Notamacropus eugenii: one gene and its partner. Each later gene encodes a partner of the first gene's protein in a complex. Links are inferred from orthologs where the notes say so. Each region holds a gene or a part of one and is shown on either strand. Other genes may lie near its edges.

Region 1 (15,932 bases):
TTAATCTCACAGAGAAGTACTTGTACTACTTAAATTTACTCATTCATGTATATTACTGAAATTTTACTTTCTACAAAAGGTATTGTATAAACTTTCTAGTGTCTTTGAAATTAATGCCAGAACTTCAGTGTTATAAGACTTCAAATCATCTGAGACTAGGTAAACAGTCTTTAGGTGGGCAAAAGGAAAGGGATTTTTAAGAATATCTCTTCTAACAAAGAAGAGGCTCTCTCTTCTACCATTAAGCTCCTCAGACAGCAACATTAGATTTATTTATCTCACTTAATGGGGAGGGCATACAAGTGACTGATCTAATTCAGTGTTAGAATTCTCGAAACAAATGGGGCCATGAATCACAAATATTCATAAAATGCCTAGATATTGTAAAGGAAATTTTTAGTCAGGGAAACAGCTGTTAAACAAATGAAAAACAAAAACCAATAGTATGGTTGGCCACAGTTTACCAAATAGTCACTTTAATTTTATGAAAAATTAAAATTCTTTAATTGTATAGACTATAAATTGTCCCAGCTTGAAAGCCTGAGACACATCATAAAATGTAAATTTACAGTTCTGAAAGACTCTGCCAAAAGAGAAATATATTTCTTTAGATCTTAAATATCTTGGTTCAATCATATAACACTGAAATATGTGAAATATTAACTTCCTTCCCATTAGGTTGCTAAGGGAAAAAAAAACCTAGAATTACTTAGTAAGGAAGATCACGTAATCTCCTTCCTTTAACTGAAAGAAAAAAAAAAGATAGCCCTCTAATGGAGGGGGCGAACTAGCTAACTCACTCTGCATTATTCTACGATTTGCCCCCTCCTTTTATCTATCTTCCTTTAAATTATTTTGCTCATTTCCCTCTTTTTTTAAAATTCTAATTACAAAAGATTTCAAATTTGTCATGATTCTTTTGGGGGGGGGTGAGGGGAGAGAGGAGGAGAGCATTCCTTTTGCTGGAGAGCAATGATCTATAAACTGAAGGAAATTCATTTTATTTCCTCTATCATCTTTATCTTTCCAAAACAAGTTTCCTTTTTTACATGTTGAACAAGTGGTATTTCATTCTGTGCATACCACAAAGGGACTAAAGGTGGAATTACCTTTAAGGGAGCTGAGTGGTGCAGTAGATAGAATGCAGAGGCTGGAATCAGGAATCTTCCCGAGTTTCAAATCCAGCCTCAGATACTTACAAGCTGTGTGTGATCCTAGGCAAGTCACTTAACCCTATTTGCCTCAGTTTCCTCATCTATAAAATGAGCTGGGGAAGGAAATGACAAACCCAGGCAGAATGAAATTCAATAAGCATATGTTCATAAAGAAGCTGTATATGGGCACACACACCCTCTCCCACGGAATGAAAGTGTATTATCCTGCTAAAATAAAGATAACTAGTACCTATTCATTTTTCCATAAATAAGAACTTGAGACCCTATCAAAATTTCTATTTGAAAAGTATATTTAATTTTTATTTATACAAGTTATTTTGAGGTATTCCCTGTGACGAAATTGGCTCACCAACAGAATGATTAGGAATCTTCAGATATTATAATGAAAAGGCTTAATTAAGTCTTACTCTAGGTTATCACTTCAAGAAATAGCCAGAGCTCTTGGAAGACCTCTTTTTGGGATCCCTAATTCTTAGAGAAGCTGCCTGGAAGGGGTAACTATGAGAGTTATCCACACCTCTCACTTTCATATTTGACAGTATTCTAGTACTCTATTTGGGCAGCTAGGTAGTACAATGGATAAGAGCACCAGTGCAGGAGTCAGGGGACCTGAGTTCAAATCTCACCTCAGACACTTGATACTCACTAGCTGTGTGACCTTGGACAAGTCACTTGACTCCAATTGCCTCATCCTGGGTCATTTCCAATCATCCTGATGAATATCTGGTCACTGGATTCAGATGGCTCTGGAGGAGAAGTAAGGCTGGTGACCTGCACAGCCCTCCCTCACTCAAAAAACAAAGTCAAGGGCAAGTCATGTCATCATTTCTCTGATGGCATGGTCTTCTTTGGCAATGAAGGATGAACGAACATACATAAACACAGACACACGCAGACTATAAAAACAGAAGCTACAGAACTTTCACTGAATCACTAAAAACAAGTTATTCCCTATTCTTTTCCTGTAAAACTTTTACAAGGGCTACAATCCTACCAGATTGGAACTGTAGAGCAGAGGTAGATCATCAAATTAATATCTCTAGGAGCCAGAGTTATAATCATTAATATTTAGCAAAAAACCCTGGTTTCTAGAGATATACAAATAATTAATGCTTAGCTAAATCCAGCTTGTAGAAGTGCAAAACCTGAAAGTCGACACAAATATAAAACATATTCAGTTTGGAGTGGCTGTCTTCCATTCCTCCTCACTAACATCATGGAATCCCTGCTTTCTTGCAAAACTCATTTCAAATGCCACCTTCTGCAAGAGGTCTTTTCCAATTCCTTCAGCTGCTGCCTTCCTCTGATGTTAGCTTCCATTCAGTCTAGGGGTTCTTACCCTTTTTTGTGCCACAGACCCCTTTGGCAGTCTAGGGAAGTCAGTGCACCCCTTTTCTGGATGCTTTTGAATGCATAAAATGTACAGGATTGCATATTTATATTCTAAACTAGGTTGAATAGTGCTTATTGAATTGATTTTTTAAGAGGCTTACAAGCTCCAAATTAAGAAGCCCTAAGCTAGTCAATACATATCTTTTATACACCTATTTATTCTCCTCCCCACCCCCACTCCCATTAAAAAATAAACTCCTTGAAGATATTTTTCTTTGTATTCTCAGGGTTTAGCTCATTGTCTAGAACATAGGAAGCATTTAACAAATGATTGTTGACTTTTTAAAATATCCCAAAGTAAAAGAAAGTAAATACATACATGTATTTACATGCTGGCTGTTGTCCTTCGTTCTCGAAGAGGACCAAAATAATGTCACCACAATAAACTCAAGTTTCACTGTGTCTGACTGTGACTGATCAGATCAATATGTGCTCTAGCACAGGTTGGGTACAGATAGTCCATGTGAACATTTGGGGTGGATACTCCAAATTTGTGCATCCTACATTCACTTCATGCTGATTCAATTCTGCTTTGTTCATAGAGCACAGCACCCTTAATGTATGCCCACATATTTATATGAACCTCAAAAGCAGAATTCAGGCAAAAAGGATGGCTCAGTACAGTTTGAACCCTGGGTTAGTTCTGAAGTAAAATAGCAGAAAGTGTAGAACTTGACTGGAGTTAGAAGACTTGGGGTCCCATCTTGGCCCTGATGTTTTTTACCTCTATACCCTAACTTCTGGGGCTTTAGCATCTCCTCTGGATTAAATAGCCTCTGAAGTCCCTTCCAGCTCTCCATCTATGATTCTTCAGTCTTAGTTTCCTAGTAAGCAGTCGTGGCATTCACACTGTTCTACCATGAACATAGAACTCATATATACAATAGTTTACATCCGAGATATGCTATAAAAGTAGGATTCCTAAGACTGCAAGCTAGTTCAAGGCTTGAAAAGTTCCAAGTCTACCTTTTGATTGAATTCTGCTGGGTTTGCTTTTAAATATTGCTTATTTCAAATTTTCAAAAAGTACCATGAAATTACTAACAGAGGAAATAAATACAAGATATAGTTTTTTCCCCTAAAAATAAGAGGCTGAACCTTGAGAGTAACCAATATTAATAGTGACACCATATGCTAACTAGTAAATAACAACTATGACTAGAAATCCTGTCATTTATAGTGGCCACACAAATATCTAGCTGCAATATACTAAACTCTTTACTAATAGTAATTCCCAAAGCCCTTTATGGGGACCCCTTCCTCATCTCAGTCTCTTGGCCTCCTTCAAATCTCAGTTACAGTTCCACCATCTGCAAGAAGCCACTCCCAGTCCTCCTTAATCACAGTGACTTGCCTCTGATATTATCTCTAATTTATCTGGTCAACAGTTGTTTGCATATTGCCTCCCCTAATAAACTGTGACATCCTTGAGAACAAGAACTGTTGTTGGATTTTGGGGGAGGGGTGGCTTTTGTATCCCAGGTATTTAGTTAGCAGAAAGCCTGGAAGATACTAGGGGATTAATAAATACTTATTGTTTGCTTGTGTATGGCAACATTTTGTTTCATTCCATGTAAAAAATATGCATGACTTTCAGAAATTGACAAAATACCAGAATATTTAAAGCTCCTTAACTAAAAATGGAAACTCCCCCCAAATTTCATCACATAATGAAAGCTGTTAATCAAAAGAACCTTCATGGTACTGTTAGCATACATGATTTCTCTTTCTCTTTATTTGAAAATAAACCAAGTAATCATTATTGAATCACATACTAAGTTTTTCTATTGTACCAAGGACTGTATAAGTATTTAATAACAAATTTATAATAGCAAATGCAACAATAGCTCTAGCAACAATAACTATACCTTTGACCATAATATAAGTTTCAATTAAATAGAGGAGCAGGCACAGTTCAAGGCACTGGAAGTACACAGATGAAACTTACAGCCAGTTATTGGAGGGGTTGGGATGGTGGTGGTGATCTTTAAAAGATGAAGGCCAATATACACACAACTATACAGTAGTGCTTGCTTCTTCCACAATCCTGCATTTAATGTAAGATACACTCTCTTTAATGCACACCTTATCTTTCAATTATTTCAAAGGAGGTAGGAAGGGCTTTCTCATAGAAAGATCACTAGAAAGTCTTGGTGTAATGAAAGCACTGCATAGATAACGAACGAGTCAAGGAAGAAATAAGGTAAGTTCCTCACTCTGAATATTTTTACCCCTTTCAGGCCAAAGCTGAGCCAAAATGACTACAGGTGTCAGTTTAAGATGAAGGTAAGGAGAAGTAAAAAGCAGTTACAAAGGGATCCAAGATTAGAGGTATTTTCTTTTGCCCTTTATCTCCACGATATGCAATCTATACATTCAGCAGGTCTTTCATGGCCCAGTCACCACTATATGGTGCACTTGACACCCTAAGCACCTGGCGAGGAAAACCAGGGCAATTCTTTTTAGAGAGATCTATGTTTCAATACAAATTCTGCAAAGTTTTACATCTCCAAACGGTGGGAGGAAATGCTTCCTGACAACTCTAGGCATCAGGAACGGAGAAGGGGCCTTTTTAATGGTAGCAGTTGGAGAAGAAAAAATAAGTTATTGTTAAAATAAACTTTGCCCGTTGCCAACGAACCTAGTGGTGCATTCTTGGATTATCGGCAGCCACCCTGAGATCTGATCTGGGATCTGGCAGGTGTCTCCCTCATCCTTCCCTCCAGGAATTCATCTAACCTGCAGCTCCCCTTAATTTTCCCTCCGGTGAGCTCCCGAAACCTCAGCAGGGGGGTGCCACAGAACCCCACTCGGGCGCTCCCGGGAATGAATGTGTGGAAGCCGAGTTTAAATGCCCTTCCCGGAGGGACATCCCACAAGCGGCAGTCCAAAGAACTCCGGGTCCTTCCTCCAGTGGCTTTCAAGATTAAAGCACCAATTCTCATATATGCCTTTTTAAAAAGTAATGAGCAGATAGACGTGGAGTCCCCGCTCCCTTTCCCACCCTGGGCTGGGCAGCGGGATGGAACGATTCTGCCTCCCAGCGCTCCACCGCCTCGATCGCCCCAGCTGCCGGGGCATTCCCGACTCCCCGGGCCCTCCTGGTACCGACTTCCTCCTTCCAGGACCCCAGCCCCGGCAGCTGTCGCCGCCTCCGCCGCTGCCCGGGCTCCGCTCCGGGGACCCGAGCCTGGGGACACTAGGGGCTCCGGGGTGGGCGGGGGACGCTCCCGGCCCCGGTGGCTCCTTACCTGTCTGACATTCAGCGCCTCCAGTCGACTTTGGCACCCGCCGGGCTCCTCCCGTGTGCTCCGCCGCCGTACCTGCCCCCCGCCCCCCGCAGCAGGCTCCTTAACACTTCATGGCGCACCGCTCCTGGCCCGGGGCCCCGGGGAACGTGTGTCCGGTTTGGCGGCGGCAACTGCGGCTACTGCCGCTCTTCCTCCTTTCCAATGGCTTCTCGCCTTTCCCCCGCCCCCGTCTCTTCCCCTCCCTCCTCCTGCTTTCCTCCCTCCCTCTCTTGCCTTCCCTCTTCCTTGGTCTCCCGAGGACCGGACCAACAGGTTTCGCCGCTCCCCGGAGGTGCCTCCCCTCTCCCTACGGCCGAAGCCACCGCAGCCCAGCTAGACTGTGGCGAGGGAGCGAGACGGGGAGGGGTCTTCTCCCCCTCTCTGCGGGGGACGTGGGAGGGTGGCAGGGCGTGGAGCGGAGCCAGGTGGAATGTACAGACTAGAAAGGGCCGAGAAGAGAAAGCCCCCGCGCAGTCCAGGTGGCTTCCCACCCTCACCTTCTGCACCCTTGCTGCCCCCCCGGCCCCCCGCACTTAGATCCACCTCGCCTGACCCCCTACGCTCACCCCACCCCGCTTGGCTAGCAGCCCAGAGCCACTGCAGTCCCCTTCTCTCCCCCTCCTTCTCACTCTTGCTGGGACCACAGCAGCTGCTACAGCTCTCGGTTTACACATCGCGTCTGCCTTCTAAAAAGGCCCAGCAGCCTACACTGCCTCCCCGCTTCCTCCACCCCGAAACCCGCAGAAGGCTCGGCGAGAGCAGCTCCCGCTTTTACTTTTCCATCTGCTCTCAGGTTCCGCTCCACGAAGCCTGGGGCGGGTTTGTCAGACACTGAGCGCTAGCCACTGGGGAGCCCGGAGAAGGACCGTGGGGGTGCAGAGAAGGGGAGCAGGCTGCCCCATTGTGAAAAACAAAATAGGAGCTTTCCTTTCACATTCATGGCCAAGCGAACATAACTCATGCCAGTACTACAAACCTGCACAACACAAACAGCCCACAAGTAAATACCGTCTTCTGTTGTTTCATTGGAATTTGTCATAGAACCGACTTGGATTTGAACTCACTTCTATGTTTAGTTACCTGTATGACCTTGGGCAAGTATCTTCACCTCTCTGGCCTTAGATTCTTCGTCTCTAAAATGAGTTTAGATGGCCTCTAAAGTTCCTTTCAGCCCTATGTGTATGATCCAATAATTCCCTCCTCCATCCTTCCCAAAATAAATAAAGACTACTTGAAAGAAAGGATTTACTTTGTTATACCTGTTTGTATCCTGCCCATCTCTGGCCCAGAGTTGAGGAAGTAGATGTTCAATGTTCCCTCATTTATTCATTCATTTAAGACACATTCATTTAACTTTCTACGTGGTTATAAGACTGTTTTAAGTCTTATGAGTCTATACCCACATGGAACGGGCATTCTAGAAGTCATTAGGTGCAAATCCAGTTGTGCTAGTATATGTTGTCTTTTTCTTTTCTTTTTTTGAGAGGCAATGCTATTGCTGTCCCCTCTTCCATTGCCCACCCAATAAAAAAATATGCCCTTGTAACAAATAAATATGGTCAAACAAAACAAACACAAAGCCAAAATGCGTATCTCCTTCCACTTTTTCAGTCAGCTCTCTGTTAAGAAGTGAGATTAGCATCAGTCCTATCTAGAGACACGGCTCATCTCGTCTTTCCGTGTTCAGAGTTTTAAAGTTTTTCAAAGTTTTTTTCTTTATTCTGTAGGGTCGCTGTTATTGTATAAATTGTTCTGCTGATAAAAAAAAAAGAGAGAGAGATTTATTCAAGAAACAGGAAATGGCAGGAATTCAGGAAACCTAGATTACACTAAAGCTAGGTTGAGGTCAGGAATAGAGTATTTTGAATACTTGAGAGTATCTGAATGCCAACTTGAACAGTTCCTCAAAATCTTGAGACCAGTTCTCCAGTTATTTGGTTTCTCTGATCAGTTTAGTTACTTATCTGTGTACATGTGGCGTATACTCAGTTCAAAGTACGTTCCTTGAGGGCAAGTGCTATTGTAGTTCTTTGTGAGTTCTACACCCATTGGTGACTTGGACACAGGAGTGCTTTAAAAAGTTTGTTTTTGCTGAAATAAATTCAGCAAGAACCCATTTGTTTTTGTTTTTACAAACAGGGTAGTGAGTAATCCAAGTTATTTTATGAAGATTAATCTGGAATCTATACTAGAACTGTGCTAAACTAGAAGAGGGAGAGCAGGGGTATTGCTGTAGTTTATAGGAGATGTAATGAATCTCCACGAAGGTGGTGTCGAGAAGAGACAATAAGGAATGTGGCAGAGAGTACTGGATTTGGAGTCCTTTTTTGTTGTTTGATCATTTTTCAGTCATTTCCCCCTCTTCATGATCCCATTTGGGGTTTTCTTGGCAAAGGTACTGGAGTAGTTTGCCATTTTGTTCTCCAGCTCATTTTACAAATGAGAAAACTGAGGCAAACAGGGTCAGGTGACCTATCCAGGGTCACACAGCTAGTAAGTGTCTGAGGCCAAATTTGAATTCAGGTCCTCCTGACTCTAGGGCTAGCACTCCATCCACTGAGCCACCTATTTACCCTTTTGGAGTCTCAGCTTTGCATCTGAGTAAATTAAAAAAAAAATTCAACCTCTCTGGGCCTCAATTTTCTCAATTGATCACTGGAGGACTAGCTAGTCTTCTAACTCTAAATCCTATGAAATGCAAAGAGACCATGGGAAGGATGAAAGTGACAGGACTTCACAAATGACTGGATTTCAAGAGAAAAGCAAAGAGGACTTTGTAGCTTCTAGTCCAGGTGACTGAAAGAACAGAAAAAGGGAAAACTAAGTTGGTGGTGGAAAGAGTAGGTGAGAAAGATGGACATCTTCTGGTTGTATACCTGGTAAATTAAGTAAGATTATTGCCACAGTCATTAGGAAGATTTTATGTGGCTCAAGTTCTCAATCTACCTAACAATCAATCTACCCTGAGGCACAAGTTACCTTTCTTTATCTCCTGAGGATCCAGCTCTCTACATGCCTTCCTTACTAAGCCAAATTAAGACAGAATCAGCTTGAGTAGGAAGCATTAGGGACACCTGCAGGTCCAATTTGGACAGGTGAAGGCAGTCACAGGATAATTAAAGGGGAAACAGCTAGAAATGACATGTCAATGCACGTGCCACCACGAAACAGCTGGCCTTCCTCTCAAGCCTGTATTCATCATTAAGCAACTATCCTCTTTACTTTTTCTTGAAGTATTTTGACCTTTTGCCCAGTGAGTGAACTAGGAAGATGAGTCTTTCTGACTCCAGATCTTTGGTACTCTATTCACCTAGCCATGACACCAAAAAAGATGAAGAACCATTATTTAAAGGTGTGTTCCTTTTGTCACTAACCATAGACCTCAGAAATTCAACAGTCAGGAATGAAAATAAAAGGTGGGGAATGTGGTCTTATAAGAGAGTAGCCCACTAATGGAGGAAGTGAGCTTGTGTTGGTGGGAGGGACTTCAAAGGTAGATCTTTTAGGGAAGGATTGATTATAGGATCATAGCAATAGGTTTTTGTTACATTGCTTAGACAACTCTTGAAGAACATAAATTTACTGTACTCTCAAAAATAAAGCACAGAAAAAAAATCAGTCATTGTAGCTTCCCAGTTTTATAATGTCCACATAAATATAAAAAGGGGCTTTAAAAAACCATATAGGCTAATTTTATTTTTAAAGCAAGAGGATAGAAAATGATATCAGAAAAAATCATTAATTTGACATCTCCTTTATCAAACACATTTATCCCGGGGCAGGGAGAGTGGGGAGAATAGGCTAGAAGAAGCATTATACTGAGGCGGTCCCTGCCCTTTACTAAGGCACCCAGTTCAGAGAGTTCTTTTCATCTAGGGAAAAACTCCTCTTTGGAGAGACTATACTACTCGGGTCTCACTCCTGCTGCTTCTTTTAAAGAATATATTAGAGAAGTCAGAGGGCTTGGGGGAAGTTATTTGAGCAATAGGCATAAATCAAATAATTTTCCTTTTAGAGGCAGTTTGTTGGAGTGTTGGCAGAGAAGTCAGAAGACTTCAGTTTGAAGCCTGCATCTGACTGGATGACTTTGGGCAAGTCTGTCAACCTCTCATCCTCTAAAATTTTTTTCACTACGATCTTATAATCCTTCCCTAAAAGACCCATCTTTGAAGTCCATTCCACATACGTGCTCACTTCCTCTATTAGTGGGCTGTTCTCTTACAAGTTCACATCCCCTTTTTTTTCCTTCCTGGTTTTCTGTTGAATTTATGAGGGTTACAGCTAGTGACAAATGGAAACTACCTTTAAATAATGCTTTTTCACCTTTTTGATGTCCTGGCTAGATGGACAGAGTGCCAAACCTGGAGTCAGAAAGACTCATCTTCTTGAATTCAAATCTAGCTTCAGATACTTACTAGCTTTATTATCCTGGGCAAGTCACTTAACTCTGCCTCAGACTGAGTTGCCTCAGTCTGTAAAATGAGCTGGAGAAGGAAATGGCAAATCACTCCAGTGTCTTTGCCAAGAAAACCCCAAAAGGGGTCACAAAGATTAAAGCAAGGGGATGGCAAATGCCATGACTGAAAAACAGATAACTGAACAATGATGAACCCCTTTTGCAATGTGATAAAGCCTGTGGACCCCTTGTCAGAATGTCTTAACACATATAAAAAATTAATAGAATTACAAAGAAAACCAAATTTTAATGAAATCAAAACTATTTTCCCCATCTAAGTTCATGTACTCCCTAAAATCTATGGGGGTCCATGGACCCCAGGATAAGAACCTCAACTCTAAAGTCATTTAATAATCTCAGCAACAGAGAGCCCATGATCTTGTGCTTTCTCACTCCATCTCTGATGAGTTTCAGGTCACTTACTGAAAGTGTCTCATGATAGCAACATGAATTGATTTGGAAATTTGCTTCACATGACTCATTTGAAAGCTGACTTATTAGGCCTGGCACCAACTCTGATACCAGTGCAGCTTAGGTAATTCTCTCTCAAAGTTCCCAGATGGGTTTGGACACTTTATAGGGCTTTATTTAGAAACCACCCCTTATTTAGTAACCACACCTTTTCCATGCAAGCTGCAGGGGAAAGTCATTAAATTTAACAGAAGCAGTGGTTTCTAAAGGAAGGCACACAATGCTTTCTTTGCTTTCAGCAGCTCATAATTTCCTCCTGGTTTTTTTTTTCTTTCCTTGACAACATTTAGTAAATGAACCATTTGGGAGATACATTGGTAAAATAGACAAGAAGTAGCTACTCTTGCTGAAACTTAGGAAGTAGTTTCCTGGATTTTTTTTTCCTCTGTGATATTGGCCAAGGGAAGAAAGATATGCTTAAGAGAGCAGATCTAGGTATTCAGTTCCGTGTGCTTCAGAGTGTGGTCATTTAAGCCAAAGCGTCTAATGCTGTTGGAAAGGTATTCACACCTCAGCTTGTGCCATTGTTAAATTTTTCATGGCAGTCAAGATTAAGGCTGACTGAGGAATTCTTACAGTCATTGTTTCAGACTGGTTTTAGAATTGTAGGTAGGAAGTTCCATTCTGTGTATCTCTTTCTGAAATCAAAATCTCTGGAAGTTTCAGATAATCAGCTTTATTTTTTCCTAAATTTGATTTCCAAGAAGAATTTATCACCCCAGATGTAATTTGTTGATCTAGTTTTGTCATCTTTGGGTCCAAATAATTTTCTGAAATCTTTTTATATAGCTGGTTAGTTTGTTCATCTGTTAACTACTTTTGCTTCACCTTGAAACTTCTTTCACTCAGCCCGTAGTTTTAAATTAGGAAAATTGGCAGCTCATAGAAACAGAAGGAATGTGGCTCATCTTTTCCAAAAGAAGCAAGACATGAAACATCTGGTGTACACCTAGGTGATGTTTCAGTGACTTGTCAGTTACTCTGGTGACATCCAGCATGATGTAATGGAAAGAGCATCAGTCTGGAAGCTAGGAGTTTACATGACCTTGGGTAAGTTGCTTATGCCTCAAAGCCTTATTCTCCTCCTCTGTAAAATGGGGGTTGAATTAGAAGATCTATAAGTTTGCTTCTAACTCTGGACATTCTATGATTCTGTGTACTATTTATTAGAATCTCAGGCCTTAATGGCCTATTGGAAAAACTTCTGGGCTTGGAGTCGACATGACCTAGGTTCAACTCTGACACAGTAGCTATGTGACCTTAGGCAAGTCATTTAATCTCTAAGTGCCTCCAACAATTTTAGGATTTCTCTACTAAATCATATTGGTGAAAAGTGTTCCCACATAGATCACATTCCATGTCTTTAGACCAGAGTGGGGAACCTGCAGCCTGGAGGCCACATGTGGCTTTCTAGGTCCTCAAGGGTGGCCCTTTGATTGAATCCAAACTTCACAGAACAACTCCCCTTAACAAAAATGTGGATTCAGTCAAAGGGCCACCCTTGAGGACCTAGAGAGCCACATGTGACCTCGAAGCTGCTGGTTTCCCACCCCTGCTTTAGACCATAAAACTATAGGATTTAGGAATGACAAAAATACAGACAATCATAATATAAAACTAAACATGCTAAATGCATCCGATTTGGGAAAGTCATAAATGATGGAGGGTGTCAGGAAAGGTTTCCTGGAGGAGGTTCAATTTAAATTGGACTTTAACTACAGGATGATTGGGAATTTCTAGACAAAGTAAGGTGAAGTAGAGAAAGCATTCCAGGTATGGGGAACATGGAGAGTAAAGTCAGGGAAGTGTGGGATTTATACTAGTGAGGTTAAGTTGTCAAGTGTGACAAGAGCACTGGGTGTAGGAGGAGGGGTAGTATGAGATAAGGGTAGATAGAAAGGTAGGGTAGTGGTAGTTAGAAGAGTGCCTTGAAAGTTAGGAAAAGGAGTGTGAACTCCACTGAAAATTTTTAACTGGAGAAATGACAAGACCAGATCAACAAATAAGGAAGGCTATTCTGTCAACAACGTGAAAATTTGTTTAGAAGTAAGAGTGAATGGGGGTAGGAAAACCTATTCAGAGGCCTTGAGTGGTAGATGATTACTGAGTAGCCTGTTACTAGAATAGTGTGATGGTCTTCTAGTTCTAAACTCTAGAATATGGAAAGAGTCATGGAGGAAGATGGCATTGGCAGAACTTAGCAAATGAGTGGATGTTGATAAGAGAATGGAAGTAGGACTTTGAGGTTTTCAGTCCATGTGATTGAAAAAATGTTGGGAGAAAAATAAGGAAAAACTGACAAGATTTGGTAACTAATATGATGGGAGAGGTGAAATTAAAAGGTAGTTAATCTTGACTGAGGTTTCTGACATGGGAAACTGGGTGAAGAGTGTCACAGATAGAAATATTAAAATCAAAAGGAGGAAAAAGTTGGGGACAAGGGGAGGCAAACGTGTTCACACCAAGTTCAATGTTCTGTTTTTTCCTTCCTATGCACCAAAGCAATCTACATATTTTTCATTTTTAAAAATATTTACATAGCATGTTAATATCCCATCATTTGTTTGGCATTTTCTCAAGGAGAGGGGGAGGGGATTTGGGTAAATTTCGTTTTTTTTTTTTTTATCATAAATTGGGTTAAGAATATTTTCATACAAATCACTTTATTTTTTCCTTTTCTGGATCAAAGGGCATGAACAGCTTTGTAACTTTTATGTATGTAGTTCTATATTGCAGCTAGATGGGGAGTAAATGGGTTTTGGAGTCAAGAAGACAGGAATTCAAATGTACCTTCAGATTTACCGATTAGCTTTGAGATCTTGGGCAAGTCACTTAACCTTTGTTGCTTTAATTGCCTCATCTATAAAACAAGGATAATAATAACATCTGCATCTTAGTGACTAGTATATAATAAGTACTGTATAAATGTTGCTGCTATTATTATGATTACTCTTTGGTAAAATAAAACCAATTTTGATATATGTGTCCCTTTTTCCCCACAGTTCCACAAACGTTAGGTTGTTATGTTTTTAAAAGCACTTTGAAAATATTTTTAAAAACCTTTCATACATCTATTTCTGTTCTTTTTCAATGATCAGTTGCTGTTCAAATCTTCATTCTACAAATAACAATGCCCCCAGTGCAAGGAAAGTTTTATGAGACAAAAGCATGAGTAATCATTTGTCATCCCCATCACCGACACAATAATAAGAATAGTATTCAAATCATCCTATAAAATTAGGCCAATCTCTGCTACATAATGATCCAAATTATGTGGGGCCTTTTGAAGGGAGTGCTTACAGGAAGTCCTCATGTTAACAAGCTCACACACAGTTCTATTGAATTGATTTCAATGAAACAGACATTGATTGGTAATTGACTATGTGTTGGGAGTTGGGCCAAGTGCTGGAGATGCCAAGCCAAAAATACTGAGCTACAAGTTCTAACACGTGCCTTTTTAAATATTTATACCCAAAATTTTTATCTGGGGGGTCTCTTGTTTGTTTTTCTCCAAGTGGTACATTTAATATTTCTGCAATCTACTTAAGGTTATTCTGCAGTCCGGTCTCTAAAATGATAGTTTGTTTTCAGGCTTTTGCAGTCCCCCCTTTTTTGCTTCTTGCTGCCCCAAAGCTGCTGCCCCCTATTCCCACTACCTACTCAAACCTGTTCTTTCTACCTCTCCTTATTTTGTATCCTTCAATTTCCTGTTAGATAGAGGAGGGACGCAAATCTGATCAACTGATGTTCAGTAAGGTGTTAATGAATGATAAAGCACTAATGTGATACTCCTACACAGATAACTTGTTAGGAGTAGTCTGGTATGGGGGAAAACGCTGGACCAGAAATAAAGAGTTCTGGGTTCATATGGAGAAACAGAACTCTTTGGGGGTCTATTTCGCTGTCCCATTGGTGGGGCTACTTTTCAGAGGGGAGTCAAAGATTCAGGAGAAAAAAATCTATTCCTAACTCTGCCATCAACTTACTGTATGCAAACAGGACTGCTTTGACAGTGACATGTCAAAGTTATTGTATTCTTAAAAGGGAAAATAAGTTGTATGTGATAGACCCATGCAGTTTCATTTTCTATTCTATTTTGTATATGAAAATTCTCATTTTTCTTTGGTATTTTGTTAAGTTCAGAATTTTAAAAGAAACTTGTGTAGCTTTAGGTAGATCACTTCTTTGGGCTTTACTTCCTTCAATACATCTTGGCTGCCTCTATTTCCATGTTTATCTCACGCTCCTCCCCCTCACACACTCAGCTCCAGCCAAATTGTAGGATTGCTATCCTCCAGTTGGATCCTAGAAGTGTTTTTCTTTCTGTTCATTTCCTCTTATTGGAGTTCCCTCCTCCAGCCCTACATGATGACGTGCTATGTATGATGGCCCAGTTTAAATGTCCCTAATTAATCAATCAATCAACAGACATTTATTAAACACCTGCTGTGTGCTACACATTATACTAGGCACAGGGAATACATGGAAAAAAGTCTCTGCCTTCAAGAAGAAGAGCGATCATTTTTTTTGGGGGGGGGGAGACAACACATACACATATGAGTTTATACAAAATATATACAACATTAAGGCAATTTTGTGGGGGAGGCACGAGCAGCTGGAGGGACCTCCTGGAAGAAGTGGCATTTGAGGCCAGCTTTGAAGGAAACTGGGGATTATTTGAGGTAGAGGTAGAGGTGAGAAGGTCATATATTCCAGACACTGGGGACAAAAGCATGTAAATAGCAGGACTGTCATGTGTGAGGAGGATCAAGAAGCCTCATTTGGCTAGACCACAGGGTGCAGGAAGAGGGTAGTATCCTAAGGCTGGAAAATAAGGCAGCTAGATGGCTTGGTGAATAGAGCTCCAGGCCTGAAGGCAAGAAGACTCAAGTTTAAATCCAGCCACACACACTACTTCTGTGACCCTGGGCAAGTCATTTAACTTCTGTTTACCTTGATCCACTGAAGAAGGAAATGGCAAACTACTCCAGTATATTTGCCAAGAAAATATGATGGATAGTAATATGCTCTAAGGAATTACAAAGAGATGGACATGACTGGACAAGGCTGGAAAATTTGGTTAGAAGGAAGTTATTACTTGTGGTATACTCATCGTGACTTTTTACTTATTCTGTGGTGGGAACAAAA
Region 2 (15,740 bases), on another chromosome or scaffold:
CCTAGAAAAGGAAAAAAAAATAAGACTATAGAAGGTTACTTTCTTGGTGAACAGGCATTTCCTCCCTTCCTTTCTGATGAGGAAGAACAATGCTTACTATCAGGGAAAGACACAGAAGTCAAGGCTTCTGTATCCCAGCCCACTCAATGGGCTCAGGCCATGGAAGAGCTCAAAAAGGATTTTGAAAATCAAGTTAGAGAGGTGAAAGAAAAACTGGGAAGAGAAATGAGTGACATGCAAGCAAAGCATGAACGGCAGGTCAGCACTCTGCTAAAGTAGACCCCAAAAAATGCTGAAGAAAATAACACCTTGAAAAATAGGCTAACTCATTTGGCAAAAGAGGTTCAAAAAGCCAATGAGGAGAAGAATGCTTTCAAAAGCAGAATTAGCCAAATGGAAAAGGAGATTCAAAAGCTCACTGAAGAAAATAGTTCTTTCAAAATCAGAATGGAACAGATGGAGGCTAATGACTTTATGAGAAACCAAGAAATCACAAAACAAAACCACAAGAATGAAAAAATGGAAGATAATGTGAAATATCTCACTGGAAAAACAACTGACCTGGAGAATAGATCCAGGAGAGACAATTTAAAAATTACGAGACTACCTGAAAGCCATGATCAAAAAAAGAGTGTAGACATCATCTTTCATGAAATTATCAAGGAAAACTGCCCTGAGATTCTAGAACCAGAGGGCAAAATAAGTATTCAAGGAATCCACAGATCACCGCCTGAAAGAGATCCAAAAAGAGAAACTCCTAGGAACATTGTGGCCAAATTCCAGAGTTCCCAGATCAAGGAGAAAATATTGCAAGCAGCTAGAAAGAAACAATTCAAGTATTGTGGAAATACAATCAGGATAACACAAGATCTAGCAGCTTCTACATTAAGGGATCGAAGGGCGTGGAATAGGATATTCCAGAAGTCAAAGGAACTAGGACTAAAACCAAGAATCACCTACCCAGCAAAACTGAGTATAGTACTTCAGGGGAAAAATTGGTCTTTCAATGAAATAGAGGACTTTCAAGCATTCTTGATAAAAAGACCAGAGCTGAAAAGAAAATCTGACTTTCAAATACAAGAATGAAGAGAAGCATGAAAAGGTAAATAGCAAAGAGAAGTCATAAGGGACTTTACTAAAGTTGAACTGTTTACATTCCTACATGGAAAGACAATATTTGTAACTCTTGAAACTATTCAATATCTGGGTACTGGGTGGGATTACACACACACACACATGCACACGCACATGCACACACACATAGAGACAGAGTGCACAGAGTGAATTGAATAGGATGGGATCATATCTTAAAAAAATGAAATCAAGTAGATACTGAATAAAAATTTTTGATAAAGGCCTCATTTTTCAAATACATACTAAGTACAGAACTAAAGTCAAATTTATAAAAATAAGAGCCATTCCCCAACTGATAAATGGTCAAAGGATATGAATAGGCAGTTTTCAGAAGAAAGCAAAGTTATCAATAGCATATGAAAAAAACCCTAAATCACTACTAGAAAAATGAAAAGTAAACTAGCTCTGACCTATAGCCTCACCCTGTCAGAAATGACAAAGGCTGAAGGGAATAGGGGAAAAATAGGTATGCTAATGAGCTGCTACTGTAATGAATTCCATTCTGGAGAATAATTTGGAACTGTGTATAGCCTTTGACTCAGTAATAGCACTACTGCATATGTGTCCCCAAGAGATCAAAGAAAAAGGAAAAGAACCTATATATAAAAAAAAATATTTATAGCATCTCTTTTCATGGTGGCAGAGAGCTGGAAAGCAAGGAGATATTCATCAACTGGAGAATAGCAGAGCAAGTTGAGGCATATGATTTCAATGGAGTATTGTGCTATAAGAAATAATGAGGGGATTGGTTTCAGAAAAACATGGCAAGACATATAAACTGATGCAAAGTAAAGTGAGAAGAATGGGGGGGATCATTGTGTACAGTAACAACAATGTTGTAATAATGATTAATTGTGAAAGACTTGGTTACTCTTATCAATACAAATATCCAAGACAATTACAAAGGACTTATGATGAAAAAAATGCTGTCAACCTCCAGAGAGATATGATGAACTCTGAGTACAAGCTGAAGTATAATTTTCTCAATTTTTCTTGCCTTTTTTAAAAAAAAATACGGCTAACATGAAAATGGTGGGAGAGGGAGGGGGTTAAATAGATGGAAAGAGTTTGAAATTCAATTTAAACAGGAAATGTTAAAAATTTTAAAAAGAAAATCAAATGAAGGCTGGGCATGCAGTACACTAAATAAAGAGCAAATGTAAGGGAAACATGATCTTTATTCTCTTTCAGTAAACAAAAGAACATGAAAACTAAATTTTCAATTAAATTTTAAGAAGAAAAAACTGGTTACTTTTTAATTATACAGACTGATGGAACAGTCTAAAAATAACATTGAAATACAGAATTTTAGCTCCCTGATACAAGAAACACATACAGTAAACTCTGTTATCTAGTCAAATTCGGCAAATTGGATGCCTAAAAACCCTGAGTGTGATTAATAAAAAATCATATGGTTTAATAATTTTCACATTTTGGTCCGGACTTGTGCTTTTCATTGATGAAGGAAATTCCAAAGGATGAAATTCCCTCTAGCAGTGCAAATCAGAAATTGTCGATAATTTACAATGTTGAAGAGTTAGGTGAGGCACTGAAAAATTATGAATTGCTGAAAGTCAAATGGCCACTGTGTCCGAGGCAGGATTTGAATGTATATCAACTTTTAAGGTCAGCTCTCTACATTACACCATCACACTACCAAGATGCCTCTCAATTTTTCAAAAAAAAAAAAAATTAGGAAATAAGAATTATATTGAATGTAACTAAAAATGTCTTTGGTAATTTAGAATGCACTTAATTTGGGGGTCTTACAATACTTAATGGTGATTGCTATGGACATTAACATGATCCCAAGACCTATGTGCTATAGTGGAAAGAATAAAAGAATTACAGAATTTGAAAAGTTGGAAGGGACCTCAGAAACCATCTATTCTAAGTCATACATAAAAGAAATACCCATTACCCATTAACAGAGTTCTGGATATACGCACGCATAATGTCACCAGAATAAAGTAGGTAGGAAGGACATAACAAGTTTTTAAGCTTCAATGAATAAGTTACATACAACGATGCAATTTTTAAAAGACAATACAATTGTTTCTTAGAATTTTATAGAATCATTGCATTGATCACAAAAAATATTCAGTCCAAAGTTTAACAACTCTCAAAGTTTCAAAAGTTCAAATTTCAGTTTGCATCATCTTTCCTCAGCAATAATTTTAAACATGATAACTAGAAACATGTAACTTTTATTTAAGAGCACAATGAGAAGAGAAGCTGCTTCTGGGGTCCTCACAAAAGCGAAGCATTTTTGGCCTTTCCCATTAAAGTCTACAAAGTAATGAGAAGGCTAAAGTGTTCCTGTGAGGAATTGGAAAGAGAAACCTATTGAAACCTACTGCTTGCCTAGGATCTAGCAAAGCAAATGTCAAACACAAAATCCACAACTTCAGTTTCTATTACAACAAAAAATTAAACAGTTTGACTCTGCGCCCTTAGTCTGCCCTGCAGTCCCTCTGACTGGAATCGTTTAGCCTTTCTCGAAGCTATTTGGCAGACAAAGACTTCTAGAAAGTCAAGGATATTCTTATTTATAGAAAAGGCATGTGGCTGGGGTACAAATTCTCTTAAATATAATAAGACAAGTTAGTTTTGTACAGAAAAAGAGAAGGCCTGCCAAATATAAGCCTCATTGAGTGGTTAGAGTGCTGGACTTAGGAAGACCTAGGTTGGAATACTATCTCTGACCCTCATGAGGTATATAACTACGGACAAGATATACAGCCTTTTTGAATCTCTGTTTATTCATCTGTAAAATGAAGATATTGCCCGTTGCACTCATCTCATAGGTCTGAGGCTCAACTGAGATAATCTATGTAGTCTGTAGACCTTACATCACCATATAAATCAGCACGTATTAGTGGTATAATGCCCTAAGTTCAAATATTAAGTTAATTAGTATGAATGCTCTCCTGCAGACAGATATGCAAAAATAGCCTCACTCCCAATTACTGTTATAGAAACATGTCAAGTCTCCACCACAATGAACTATAGAGAATAAAAACACAAGGTTAATACTTCCTTAGGAAGTGAACAAAATCATTATTTACAAGGCACGATTATTATTATTATTTGGGGAGGCAGCATGATGTAGTGGAAAGAACAATAGGTTTAGTGTCATAGGATTTATTTTTTCCTACCCCAGCTTTGCCACCACTAGCTGTGTGATCTTAGGCAAGCCACCTCTCTTTGGGTAGCTCCTCATCTGTAAAATTAGGAGGTTCATGCTAGATGATTCCTAAAATCTGACTGTTTGAACCCTACAATCTTATTCACAACAGAATCTGTGGTAATGCTTCAGAAACCCGATTAACTTTCAAACAATAAAAGAAGGGGAAGGGAAATTTATCTGAAGTTCAGGTCAGTCATCCAATCACCATCCTCCAGAAAGCTCACAAGATGATGGAGAATGGGATGGGAAGGAGTTGTTTTAAGGGGGTAGGTAGTTTAAAGGACTGGTTAAGACCCAATTAAACGTCTGACGCAATTAAGAGAGAACTTTGGACTGCAGGCCTACCATTCAACCCCAAGCACAATTAAGAATTTTACTACAATGAAGGGGGCAGTAGAAAGGTGTTAAGGAGGTGGGCAGCTCCAAAAGCTAGGAAGATTTAATCCTCCCTGGGAAAGAGGTGGTGGGCGAATGTCCCTGGACTTTCTATCTTTCCTCCAAACAGTTCCACAGGAGCAATCAGGAACTGGATCATAAAGGAGATGGGATGGGTTGGAAAAGGAGTGTTCCTGAGGCAGGCAGCCCAAGGGCCAGTACAACCTCCAAGACAAGAAAAGGGGTAGTTTCCTTAGGCCTGAGGCCTACCCACCAGCTCCCTCTCGACAACCAGGAATCGGTGGGTGGGGAGGAGAAAGCTAATCTCTTTGAAAGAGGTGGAGGACAAACTTCCCTAGCCCACAGCTCTGTTGTCCAAGCAGTTCCACTGGAACAATTAGGAACTGGGTGGCAAGGAGGGTGGGAAGGAGTTGCTTAAACAGCTGCTCTGATCGGCTTCCAAACAATTAAAGTGGGGAAGGGGGATTAATTTCCCCAGACTTGAACCCACCAGCTGCACAAAGACAACTAGAAATCATTAAGGAAATTTGCGGGAGGAAAGGAACGGGTAAGAGGTGGGAAGGAAGGATCTAAGGTGTCGCAGAACAGCTCGGGGTGCCGGCAGGGCCGCGCCCGGGGAAGCCGCGGGGGGCCATCGGTCAGCGGTCCTCGTCGTCCCCGTCGCCGTCCTCGTCCTGGTGCCGGATGTACACGACCAGCATGACGAAGCCGGTGACGATGCAGAGGGAGCCGAAGGTCAGGTAGGCGATGCCCAGGAAGGGGTTCTTGCCGCCCATCCACGAGACGCTGCTGAAGATGAGGCGCTTGCGGCCGCCGAAGGCCAGCACCGGGTAGCGGTAGGAGATGTTCACGCAGTAGGCCCCGCGCGGCAGCCCGGCCGAGTAGTTGCCGTAGCGGATGCGCGCGTACAGCTTGCGGAAGGTGGGCAGCGCCGCCGTGCGCATCCACACCACGAAGTCCTGGTTCACGAAGCCCGTGTTGTTGGGGTCCGGGCTCAGCTCGTACACCGGCCGCGGCCAGTTGGGCGGCTTGGCCGTGCCCTGGAAGGCCAGCTTCAGGCTGCCGTTGACGGGCTCCGGGTTGTGGAACTTGACGTGGTAGTCCGTCCACCAGGCGATGCCGGTGCGGTCCAGGGGCACCTCGGCGTAGGCGCCGCCGGGCAGGCGCTGGTGCAGCAGCTTGAAGGAGTCGTTGAAGAGGCTGTTGGCGATGGCGCCGCAGGGCGCGATGGGCACGCCGTCGGGGTTGTACTGGTACGGGATGCACTCGTCGGACGGGTGCCGCAGCGCGCTCGCCACCCCGCTGAGCTGCGCGTTGTCTCGCGAGACCACGTAGCGGCGGTAGTTCTGGTAGAAGTTGGACAGTTCGTAGTAGAGGAACACGGGGCCCTGGAAGAGCTCGGGCAGCGAGAAGCACCACTGGCAGCTGCAGTTGGCGGGCGGCGGGGCCGTCCTCTCCCCGGCCGCGGCGCAGGCCGAGCAGTTGCCCGTGCCCGGCTCGCCCGTGTAGTCGTACTCCAGCTCCTTGATGCCGTTGGAGGAGTAGTAGAGGCCCAGGCCCAGGCCGATGAAGGCCAGGCCCACGCAGAAGAAGAGCGGCAGGACGATGCCGGCCGACAGCAGCGGCTGCCAGGCCGGCAGGCGCTGCTGCGTGAAGGCCGTGTTGTCGGGCTGGTTGGGCCCGGGCGACGTCGCGCTCCAGGCCATGGCGGCGGGCGGTCCGGCTAGCGAGCTAGCCGAAATCGAGGCCCCGAGGCCCAGCACCGGGGGGAGCCCGAGTCCGGCTGCCGATCCCTTCCCCCCCGACTCGGCCAGGTGTCCGCTCACCTCCAAGTTCCGCCTCAGCGCGGGTGAACCCTCCCCCTGGTTCCGCCCTCTACCTGCGTGACCAGCTGCACCCCACCTTCGGGGTCCAATTCTTCTGACGATTCCGGGAACCTTGGCTTCAGGTTTCAGGGTTCTCACTCCTCCCCTGCGGGTGCTGCCTGGGACGGTGCACACGGCTCTCCAGGTAGAAGGTGCGTTTCTGCCAGCAGGTGACAGGAAATCCCCGGCCCGGGCGCTCCCTGCACTGCCTTCTCTCAGCAGCCTTATCTTCTCCTAGTGTCTAGTGGCTGCTGCTTGTTTCTTTTCCTACTTTTAAGGTTCCATTTTAACGAGAAAGAGCTAAATTATCAGGGCGCCCTGTCTCTGTGGCTACACATTCCTTTTAACTTTCTGCCACTTAAAGGAATATTCGGATTACTTTCTGTTTTTCAACGGAAGGAAACTGATTTTCAGGTCTTAAGGGACCCACCTTCATTACTTAGCTAAAAAGAGACTTGGGATCCCCACCTTCACTCCATTTCAGCAACACACCAGGATGAATATACTTTTATTCACAAGGGAGAAAATTTCATAGATCTTCTGAGTTCCAGAATTTTTCAGACTCTTCCATGTCTCCCACTTTCTTATTTCTTCAAGAACAGTTCTTCACTTTTAACAAAACTTGTGGTTCCTCAGTTGCTCCTTGGTTTTTCAGTCTGATTAAGCTTGTGGTCAGCTACTTTCTTGCCTCCAACTTAAATCCCTTCCCTCTTTGACCTGCCAGCCCTGGGTAACTTCTGTCATCCACCTTTTCTGCTCTTTTGGTTGAACTTCCTGGTGCTATTGGAAGAAAGTATTATATCCTGCAAGACTGCATCAGTACAAATTTATGCTAACTGCCTTCATGACCTTATTTATCCTTTTGACCACAATTGTGTTACTTACCTAAATTCAAAATATCTGTCCATGCCAGAAAAAAAATATAAAAGGACTTGGGGCTCTCTCCCTTTTTCAACCCCCCTGTCTGTGTTATTTGATACAATAGAATGGTCCATTAAAACTGTCATGTAGGGTTTCAGTGTGAAAACCAAGGCAGGAAAAAAGGGAATTTTGATCTGGGCCAGGATAATGGAGAGTTCATAGATAAGACACAAGAAATAAAGGCAGGAAGCATCACTGAACACTTGTAACCAAGAAACAATTTTGAATCTCTCCATCCATTCTGGGCAAATTCACTGGCTGCCTTCCTCCCATGTCTGGAATTTTCTGCCTCCTCATCTGACTTCAAACTTCCTCCTGGCTTCAAGTTATAGCTAAAATTCCACTTTTTACAAGAAAACGTTCTTGATCTCCTTTAATGCTAGTGCCTTCCCCTGTGTTGATTACCTCTAATTTATCCTGTACTGCGTTTATTTGCTGTCTCCCTCCCTGTTAGAATTAGGAACTCATTTAAATAAAGTACAGACTCCCCACCCTCATCCTCACACACATACCTTGTATTTTTAGCTCTTAGCATACTACTTGGTACAAAGTAGGTACTTAATAAATTGTATTGACTGACAGAAGTGATTGCTTGTTCTCCAAGGAATAATAATACTCAGAAAGTAGTGTCAGGTGAGGCTACCCAGGTCAGAGAAAGAATAGATGAATAATGGTAATTGGCAACTCCCTCTTGAGGGATACAAAGGCAGCTGTTTTTTAACTTGTTTCATTAACAGAGAATTCTGCTATCTTAAGGCATGTATACATGATGTAACAGAACCTGTCAAGACTTGTCAAAACAGATTACTACTATCCACTTCCGGTGATTTGTGTGGTTCAAATGGTACTGCTGGAAGGAATCAAGAAAGTGTTGCCAAAGATTAGAATGTCTTGGGCAAAAAACTATCCCTCACAGGAGCACAGATGGTATTTTCATCACTGCTGCCTGTCAAAAAGCAGGAAATCAGAAAAGGAAAGCATATTTGGTACATGAGCAGCTGGTTAAAAAGTTTATCTAAGGATGAGATTTCAATTTGGGGGGTCACAACTTAGAATATAGGAATGTTTTGTATCTACCAAGAATGAATTTGCCCAGAGCCTTGCAAATTAAAAGAATTAACTGGCCAGAAACCTCTTTAAGTTAAAGAAAACTGCCTATGTACATTAATAACCTTAAATACTATGGAGAATAGCTACAAACTAGGAAGGGTAGCAGTTGAGGCAGAAATCCACAGAAGATAAAACCCAAGAAAGGAGTCAGTTGTAAAATATATGTCCTGGTTTGCCAATACACAAAGAAGTAACATATACATAATACACATAATAAGTACACTATAAAATAAACTAGAGATCCTAAAGCAATTATGCTAATTTAATGTCATAGGTGTCACTAAGACTTGGTAGGGTGGGTTCTGTGATTGGAATATGGTTATGGTTGGCTATAATTTAAATGAATAAGGCAATGGAGGGTTAGTCAGCATTGAATGTTAAGATATAATGCAGTGTACATAGGTGTTTTATATATATATGTACATATATATATATGTCCATCTATGATGACTCAGAAGTTTTAGTTTTAAAGCTTAAAACTTCACTAAGACTTTTGGGATGTACTGTATACCAACTGCCACCCACAGGGCAGGTGAGCCCACAAAACTACAAGAGATCCTTAGGGAAAGACATAAGGCAGCCTATACTAGGCAAGTCATACTGCCACCAGCATCACTACTACCATCCAGCACCATCTTTACCACTATCATTTCCCCAGCAGCCCTGATGGAGACAGCCCAGGATCCTGTACCCGAGAATCTTAAAAATAACAGTTTTCCAGCGCTATCCTGAGAAACAACCCCAGTGGAGATGAAGTCTGGCAGCTCCTGAAGGTTCTGAAGCTCCTGAAGGTCCAAAAGTTACTGCCACCAAAGTCCTTAGAACTGCCAAATGGTTCAATATCAGACACTGCTTTAAGCAATGAAATAACACTACAGATGAGGTGTTACCATCTACTTTGATGATGCACCCTAAGGACTATGGGAACTTTCCATCTGACGTGAAGCTGAAAACTTCTGTATTGTCTCCCCCATTAGAATATGAAATCCTTGAAAGCAGAATCTGCCTTTTCAATTTATGTCCCCAGCACTTGGCACAATGCTTTGTACATAGTAAGCACAATATGTGAGGAAATCCAGTAACTAGAGAGGAGGAAAGCATGATGGAGGTTTTTTGAACGACTACCAAGAGGCAGAAACAGACATAATTTTCACTGGAGTATACTATAGACCACTTGGACAGAAAGAAAATAGATACATTTGAGAAATATAACAAGCCTGACACAGAAGCATGCTGTAGTAGTGATGGGAGCTGGAATCTGCTGGAATGCTCTCTGCCAAAATGACAAGCAGAAAATAATAGAATGTTATTGTTAGAAGGGACCTCAGCATCTATCTTGTCCAACATCCAAAAAGTCTACATTATAACATCCAATATTAGTGGGCATCCAGGCTTGGCATGAAGATTTGCGAATGAGCAGAAATCCGCCTCCCAAGGCAGCCCATTTTTTCATATTTCTACAAAGTTTTAACTCATATCAAAGCTAAATGTCTGTCTGCAGCTTCCATAGAACTTCTGGTTCTATCTTCAGGAACTTAGAATAAATCTAATTATTTAAGGGAAAACAATTACTTATTTTTTTCTACTACTGACTTCTATATGACTACATTCTTACCCTTGAAACAGAACTTTCACTTAACTAAGTACAGTCAGACAAGACATATTAATCATGTCCAGAAAATGTGTTTGACACTTCTGGCATAGTGAATAGAGAGTTACCCTTGGCCTTAGGAAGACTCTCAGTTTAAGTCCCTCATCTGATACAGTACTGACTATGTGAACCTGAGCAAGTCCTTAAACATTAAATGTTTCTCAATATCTTCAAGTAAATTGCTTAAGTTTAAGTTGAAGAGAAGGTGCTGGTATTTCCTGGTTGATTCATAAATTAATGAGATCACAGATCTGGTATGTTAAAAAAAAAAGTAATATCTTTTGTTTCCTGACTCATATTGGTTATCCCTCTCATTTTGTGTCATTTGCAAATTTGATGAACTTGCATGCTGTCTATTGACCTTAATCAAGTCATTGATAAAAATCTCAAACACCACAGGAAAATACTTATTAGAACCCTATGGTACTATAATGAAACCACCCTCCCATCCCACCAGGAAAGTAGACATTGAACCCTAACAACTAACTACTTCAGTCCAGCTACTTGATTCAGAATTTTTCTGTCTAATCCACATCACTTCATCTGTTCCACAAGAACTGTATATAAAATTTTATATAATGCTTTGCAAAATATGAGAAAACTGTAGCATTCTGCTCTGCCATTTTGGTGATGTCAAAAAAAGGAAATAAGGTTGATCTGGCATGACCTGTCCTTAATAAACCCATGCTGTCTATTTGTAATCACTACTTCCTTTTTTTGGATGTTTTTAACTGTATCTTTAGTGATTTGTTAGAATACTCTGAGTATCAGTCCTGAAGTTTGAAGAATCTCTGCCTCTTTTTTAAAACTGGGACAGTCGCACTGCTCCAGTTAATTATGCCACTCACAACCATGGCTTTTCCAAACCATTTTCCCTCCTGAGACTTCTCATGGTTCCCTTCCCCCACCCTCTCAGTCCAAAACCTTGCCTCATATTTCACTGAAAAATTGAGGCTATTCACAAAGAATGCAGCTATTTCTTCTGTTTTACAGAAAGAAACGATCTTTCTCCTTCCTAAGGCAAACCTCTTTACATGCACATGTGATCAATTTCCATCCTATCTTCTTCAGCAGATTGCCCTCCCTACCATTTCTTTCTTTGACTAATCTTTAATCTCTCCCTGTCTCCTAGCCGCTTCTCTCCAGACATCCCCATGTCTCGCTCATCCTCAAAAACCTCTCATTTGATCTGTCCATCCTTGTTAGCTATTTTGTTCTATATCTCATTTCTTTTGATGCCAAATTCCTCTCCTCAAGAAAGCTGTCTACAATCAGTCTCTCAGTTGCCTTTCATCTCATTCTCTTAACTGTCTGCAGTTTGGTTCTGACCTCATACTGTAACCAAATCAGCTCTCTTCAAAGTTACTAATGACTTTATAATTGCCAGATTTAATGGCCTTTTTTTTAGTGGTCCTCATCCTTGAACTCTCTGCCACCTTTGAGACGATTAATCACCTTCTCTTTGATACTCTCTTCTCTCCAGGTTTTTGTGCTATTGCTCCCTTCTAATTCTCCTACCTGAGTGCTTCCAGTCTACCTTGATGGATCATACTAACCTTCAGTGTTCCCCATGTTTGTGCCCAGAGTCCTCTTCTTCTGTATTCTCATCTAGTGATCTTATCAACTCTCATTTCAATTATCTCTATGCAAATATTCATATCTGCTTGTCTCTAACCTCTCTCCCATCTTCCAGTTTTATATTGCCAGTTGCCTGTTAGACATCTTGAACTTGATGTCCTAGAGTCATTTTAAACTTATCAAATTCATCTTTCTTCCACAATACCTATCCTTTTTTAAATTTCCCTATTACTGTTGAGGGTACAATCATCCTCCCACTTAATCAGGCTCACAACCCATGACTCTCACCACCACTTCCCATATCTAATCTGTTGCCAATGCCTATCAATTTTACCTTCATAACATCTCTTATATGTGACCCTTTCTTGCCTTTGACACTGCTGCCACTCTGAAGTAGGCCTGTATCAAATCAGCCCTGGACTATTGCAGTAGTCTGATGATTGATCTACTTTTCACAAATCTCTCCCCACTGAAGACCATCCTCCACTCAGCTGTCAAATTGATCTTCTTAAAGCATAGGTGTGACCATGTTGTTCCCCCTACTGCTCCATTCAATAAACTCTGTTGCCTTCAGGATGATATAGAATGCTCTGTTTGACTTTAGAGCCCTTTTAACATCATCGCTTTCTACCTTACCAGTTTCCTTACATTTTATTTCCCTCACATACTCTGTGATCCAATGATACTTTTCTTTTCCTCATACATGACATTCCACCTCCTTACTCAGCATTTTCATTGGATGCTTCCCATGCCTGGAACTCTGTTCCTCCTCGTCTCTTCCTCCTAGTTTCTCTGGTTTCCTTAAAGTCTCAGCTGAAGCCCCATCTTCTTCAAGAAAACTTTCAAAGACTTCCTTAATCTTGGAACCTTCCCTCTAAAATTACCCTTACTTCATCCAGTACATATTTTATATGTCCATAGGTATTTGTATGTTGTTTCCTCCATTAGACTGAGCTCCTTTTTTTTTTTTTTTTTTTTTGCCGTTCTTTGTGTCCACAACACTTAGCACAGTGCTTAATAAATGTTCATTGATTGGCTATAGTCCTGTAGTATTTCTCCTTTCCTCTTTAATCTTACAAATGTCATTGACAACTGCTCAGCTATTATAATCACCATTTTCTTTACAACAGGAGGATGTAGTTTAGGTCAGGTGACTTTAATTCAAAAGTAGCTAAATGCTCTCTTACTATTTCCTTACCTTGGGCATCAACTTCACAGTTAGCCAATTTTGTTCTGTCATTGCCCATGCAAAAGGTCATGCATGTGTTAAAAATAAACCTCAGAAAATAAAAGTTGTGTGTAACAGCTAAGGCACTTGGGGAGAAGGGCAGTTCCAACGCTTCATCAGAAAAAACAAAAGCAAAACAAGAATTAAACAGCACTGCTTTTCCTGGTTGTTAGCTATCATTGTCTCATCTACCTGAAGCTGCAGTGCTCTCCTTTGATCTTTTCCCCACTCAATACAGCTATTAAAAACAAGACAAAATTCTTTTTGTTATCCTTAGCTCCCCCGACCAGTCTCAGATCCTTCTGAGCTTTAGCACTTGTCACAATTTTAATAGGACCATAACATACTTGTATCCTCTGTTAAGCTGTCTTCTGTACAAATCTTTTAAAAATTGAGGCAGTTTTGTGAATCTGCATTGGTCTCTTTAGGCAATCTCTATTTTTTTTCTTTTCATCCGAATTATTTCCTGTTGGGTCTTGAGAATTGTGTTTTTTAGAATTATCCTTCCTTCAGCTGACTTGCTCCTGCAGAATTTTAGTCTGTGAGATTCTGTCTTTCCTTCTTCTGAACTTTTTGAAATCTCTCCCCAGTTCAAGAGTTTGTGTCAGACTATGCCCAGCTTTTCTCTGTCACAAACTTTAGAAAGAAGTGGTCACTTCCCTCAAGGTTCCTATAATTTTCATCCCAACAATCGGTTCTTCCTTGTTCAGGAGAATTTCCCCTATTCATCCTTCATATTACATTCCTATGACACTTCTCTAATTCAAGAGCTTGCCATCGCTTCCCTGATTTCTTGCTAAAGACTCATAAGTGGATTTCCTATCTCATTATATTCCCTTTCTAATCTACCCTATATGTCAGTACTCAGTACTGAGCATAGTACCTGGCTTACAATAAGTATTTAATAAAAATGCATGGACAGTATGGTTTTATTGTTCTTAGGAATAAGCTCATTCGGCAATGGCCATGCCTGATTTTTTTTTTTAATTTTTAAAATTAAAAAAAAATACAAGTAATACCTAAAACATAGGTGCAACAGAATATTCTGATGGACTACATTTCTTAGCATGCCTGGGACCATAGCATGATTAAGGAAGTTCCCATTATTTCAGTTCCCATTAGACTGTCCTTTGGCATAGGATTATTGCATCACAAGGGTAATTGGAGCTATACAGAAAGCAAGAGCCAGGTCTTAGAAGCCAGGCAGCCCAAAATGTCCCTGAGGCCAACTTTTGGAAACAGAGAGATGAGGCAAAAGAACATAATACCAGCAGGAGCAGCAGTGCCAAAAATACTTGCATTGTAAAAGCTTCAACCCCCTTCATTCTAGTTCAAAAATGAAATCTTTCTCAGATCTTTTCTCATTTCAAAGATCTGAGTCTTGAAGAAACTGTTTCCCTAAGCTTCTCTACTTGTCTGGGAATGATGTGTTTTTTTTTTCCTACTGGTATTACTTTGTGATGCTGTCCTGATTAAATATTTCACTGTTTCAGTGTATAACCCTAACCAGTTAGTATGGGAAAAACTGAATTTGAAGTTCCTGAGAAATGAAGTGGGGGTAAATAAATCCAAAGAGGTAAGTTGTCATTCAATTGGACCTTGATCCATGTGAATGCAGAGATGAGTGGTGCACAATTTATATTGACATCCAATAACAATATAAATTTAATAATGTGTACTAGGCAGGTAAACTAATTGAATTTGTGATATACTTAAGGCATAGCACATATATTCTATTGTTTCAGTATTTGTAACTTAATTTCAGTTTAGCTAATAAATCTACTCAAGCATTCGCTTTACCTTTATTCAGCTTGATTGATGAGGTCAGTCAGATTGACTAAATGTCATTACGCTAGCAAGACTATTTTACAAAGGCGGGGTAAACTGTGCCACAGACAAGTCAACTACAAAGTTTGAAAGGCCCATGAACACTAGAACTATAAAAATATAAATCTATTCAAGTGATGTTATTGGTAATGTTGTTTAACTAATGATTGTTAGCATGACTAAGGTGAAAATGTATTTAATAGGAATGTATGTGTAGAACTTATAAAAATGTATGCTATCTCAGGGAAGGAGTGGGGAGGGAGGGCAAAAATCTAAGATATATGGAAGTGATTGTAGAACACCAAAAACAAATAAAATTTAAAAAAAGTTGAAAACATTGAAAAAAGTAATAAAAATACATATTTTGACATACTAAAAAACAAGCAAACTAATGATTGTTAGCTGTATAATGCCTGGCCTTTCACTCCAACTCATCCTAACACTACCTACACAAAATATCAGTGAATTGTTTTATTATGAATTTATATATGTGTGTATACACGTGTTTATATACACACTGTATATGTGTATATATATGATGTCAAATGATCTACCTTTGAATCCCATATATATTTTAAATATATGTATGTATATATCTGCATGCATACACACATGTTTATGGATACATATGTGCAAGAGTTTACAAAGGAACTATGATTTCATTAGTTTAAGAAATTGGTGTGAGAACCCCATTTGCCAATTCTGATCAAAGTAGGGTAGTGATTTAGTAGATAAATCCTAGAGAATAATCTAAGGTACATAGTAGTGGGTGTGTGTGTGTGTGTGTGTGTGTGTGTGTGTGTATGTGTGTGTGTGTGTCTGTGTCTGTGTCTGTGTGTG

Evidence for each region.
Region 2: the proteins of ATP8B1 (region 1) and TMEM30B are in contact, whole or in part, in a cryo-EM structure (PDB 7VGH), measured with the Homo sapiens proteins. The link is inferred for Notamacropus eugenii from reciprocal best matches to the Homo sapiens genes ATP8B1 and TMEM30B. Residues at the interface, in NP_001361314.1 of Homo sapiens: Trp362, Val366, Ser369, Ser370, Trp371, Tyr372, Leu373, Tyr374, Asp375, Gly376, Phe418, Trp421, Asp422, Leu423, Tyr426, Asp431, Pro433, His939, Trp942, Arg946, Tyr968, Phe971, Asn972, Gly973, Ser975, Ala976, Gln977, Leu1003, Gln1005, Phe1049; in NP_001017970.1 of Homo sapiens: Gly9, Ala10, His11, Gln12, Pro13, Asn15, Phe18, Thr19, Gln20, Gln21, Arg22, Leu23, Pro24, Ala25, Trp26, Gln27, Pro28, Leu30, Ser31, Ala32, Ala35, Leu38, Phe39, Phe46, Leu49, Leu53, Tyr109, Tyr111, Asn116, Phe117.

Annotation. Positions count from the first base shown.
Region 1 is NC_092875.1:432,473,681-432,489,612, reverse strand, and holds the start of ATP8B1 (phospholipid-transporting ATPase IC), read right to left. Parts: upstream 7,082-15,932; 5' UTR 6,938-7,081; intron 6,023-6,937; exon of another isoform or gene 5,819-6,022; intron 1-5,818. UniProt on the Homo sapiens protein: Catalytic component of a P4-ATPase flippase complex which catalyzes the hydrolysis of ATP coupled to the transport of phospholipids, in particular phosphatidylcholines (PC), from the outer to the inner leaflet of the plasma membrane.
Region 2 is NC_092872.1:304,643,215-304,658,954, forward strand, and holds TMEM30B (cell cycle control protein 50B), read right to left. Parts: upstream 8,082-15,740; 5' UTR 6,427-8,081; coding exon 5,359-6,426; 3' UTR 2,295-5,358; downstream 1-2,294. UniProt on the Homo sapiens protein: Accessory component of a P4-ATPase flippase complex which catalyzes the hydrolysis of ATP coupled to the transport of aminophospholipids from the outer to the inner leaflet of various membranes and ensures the maintenance of asymmetric distribution of phospholipids.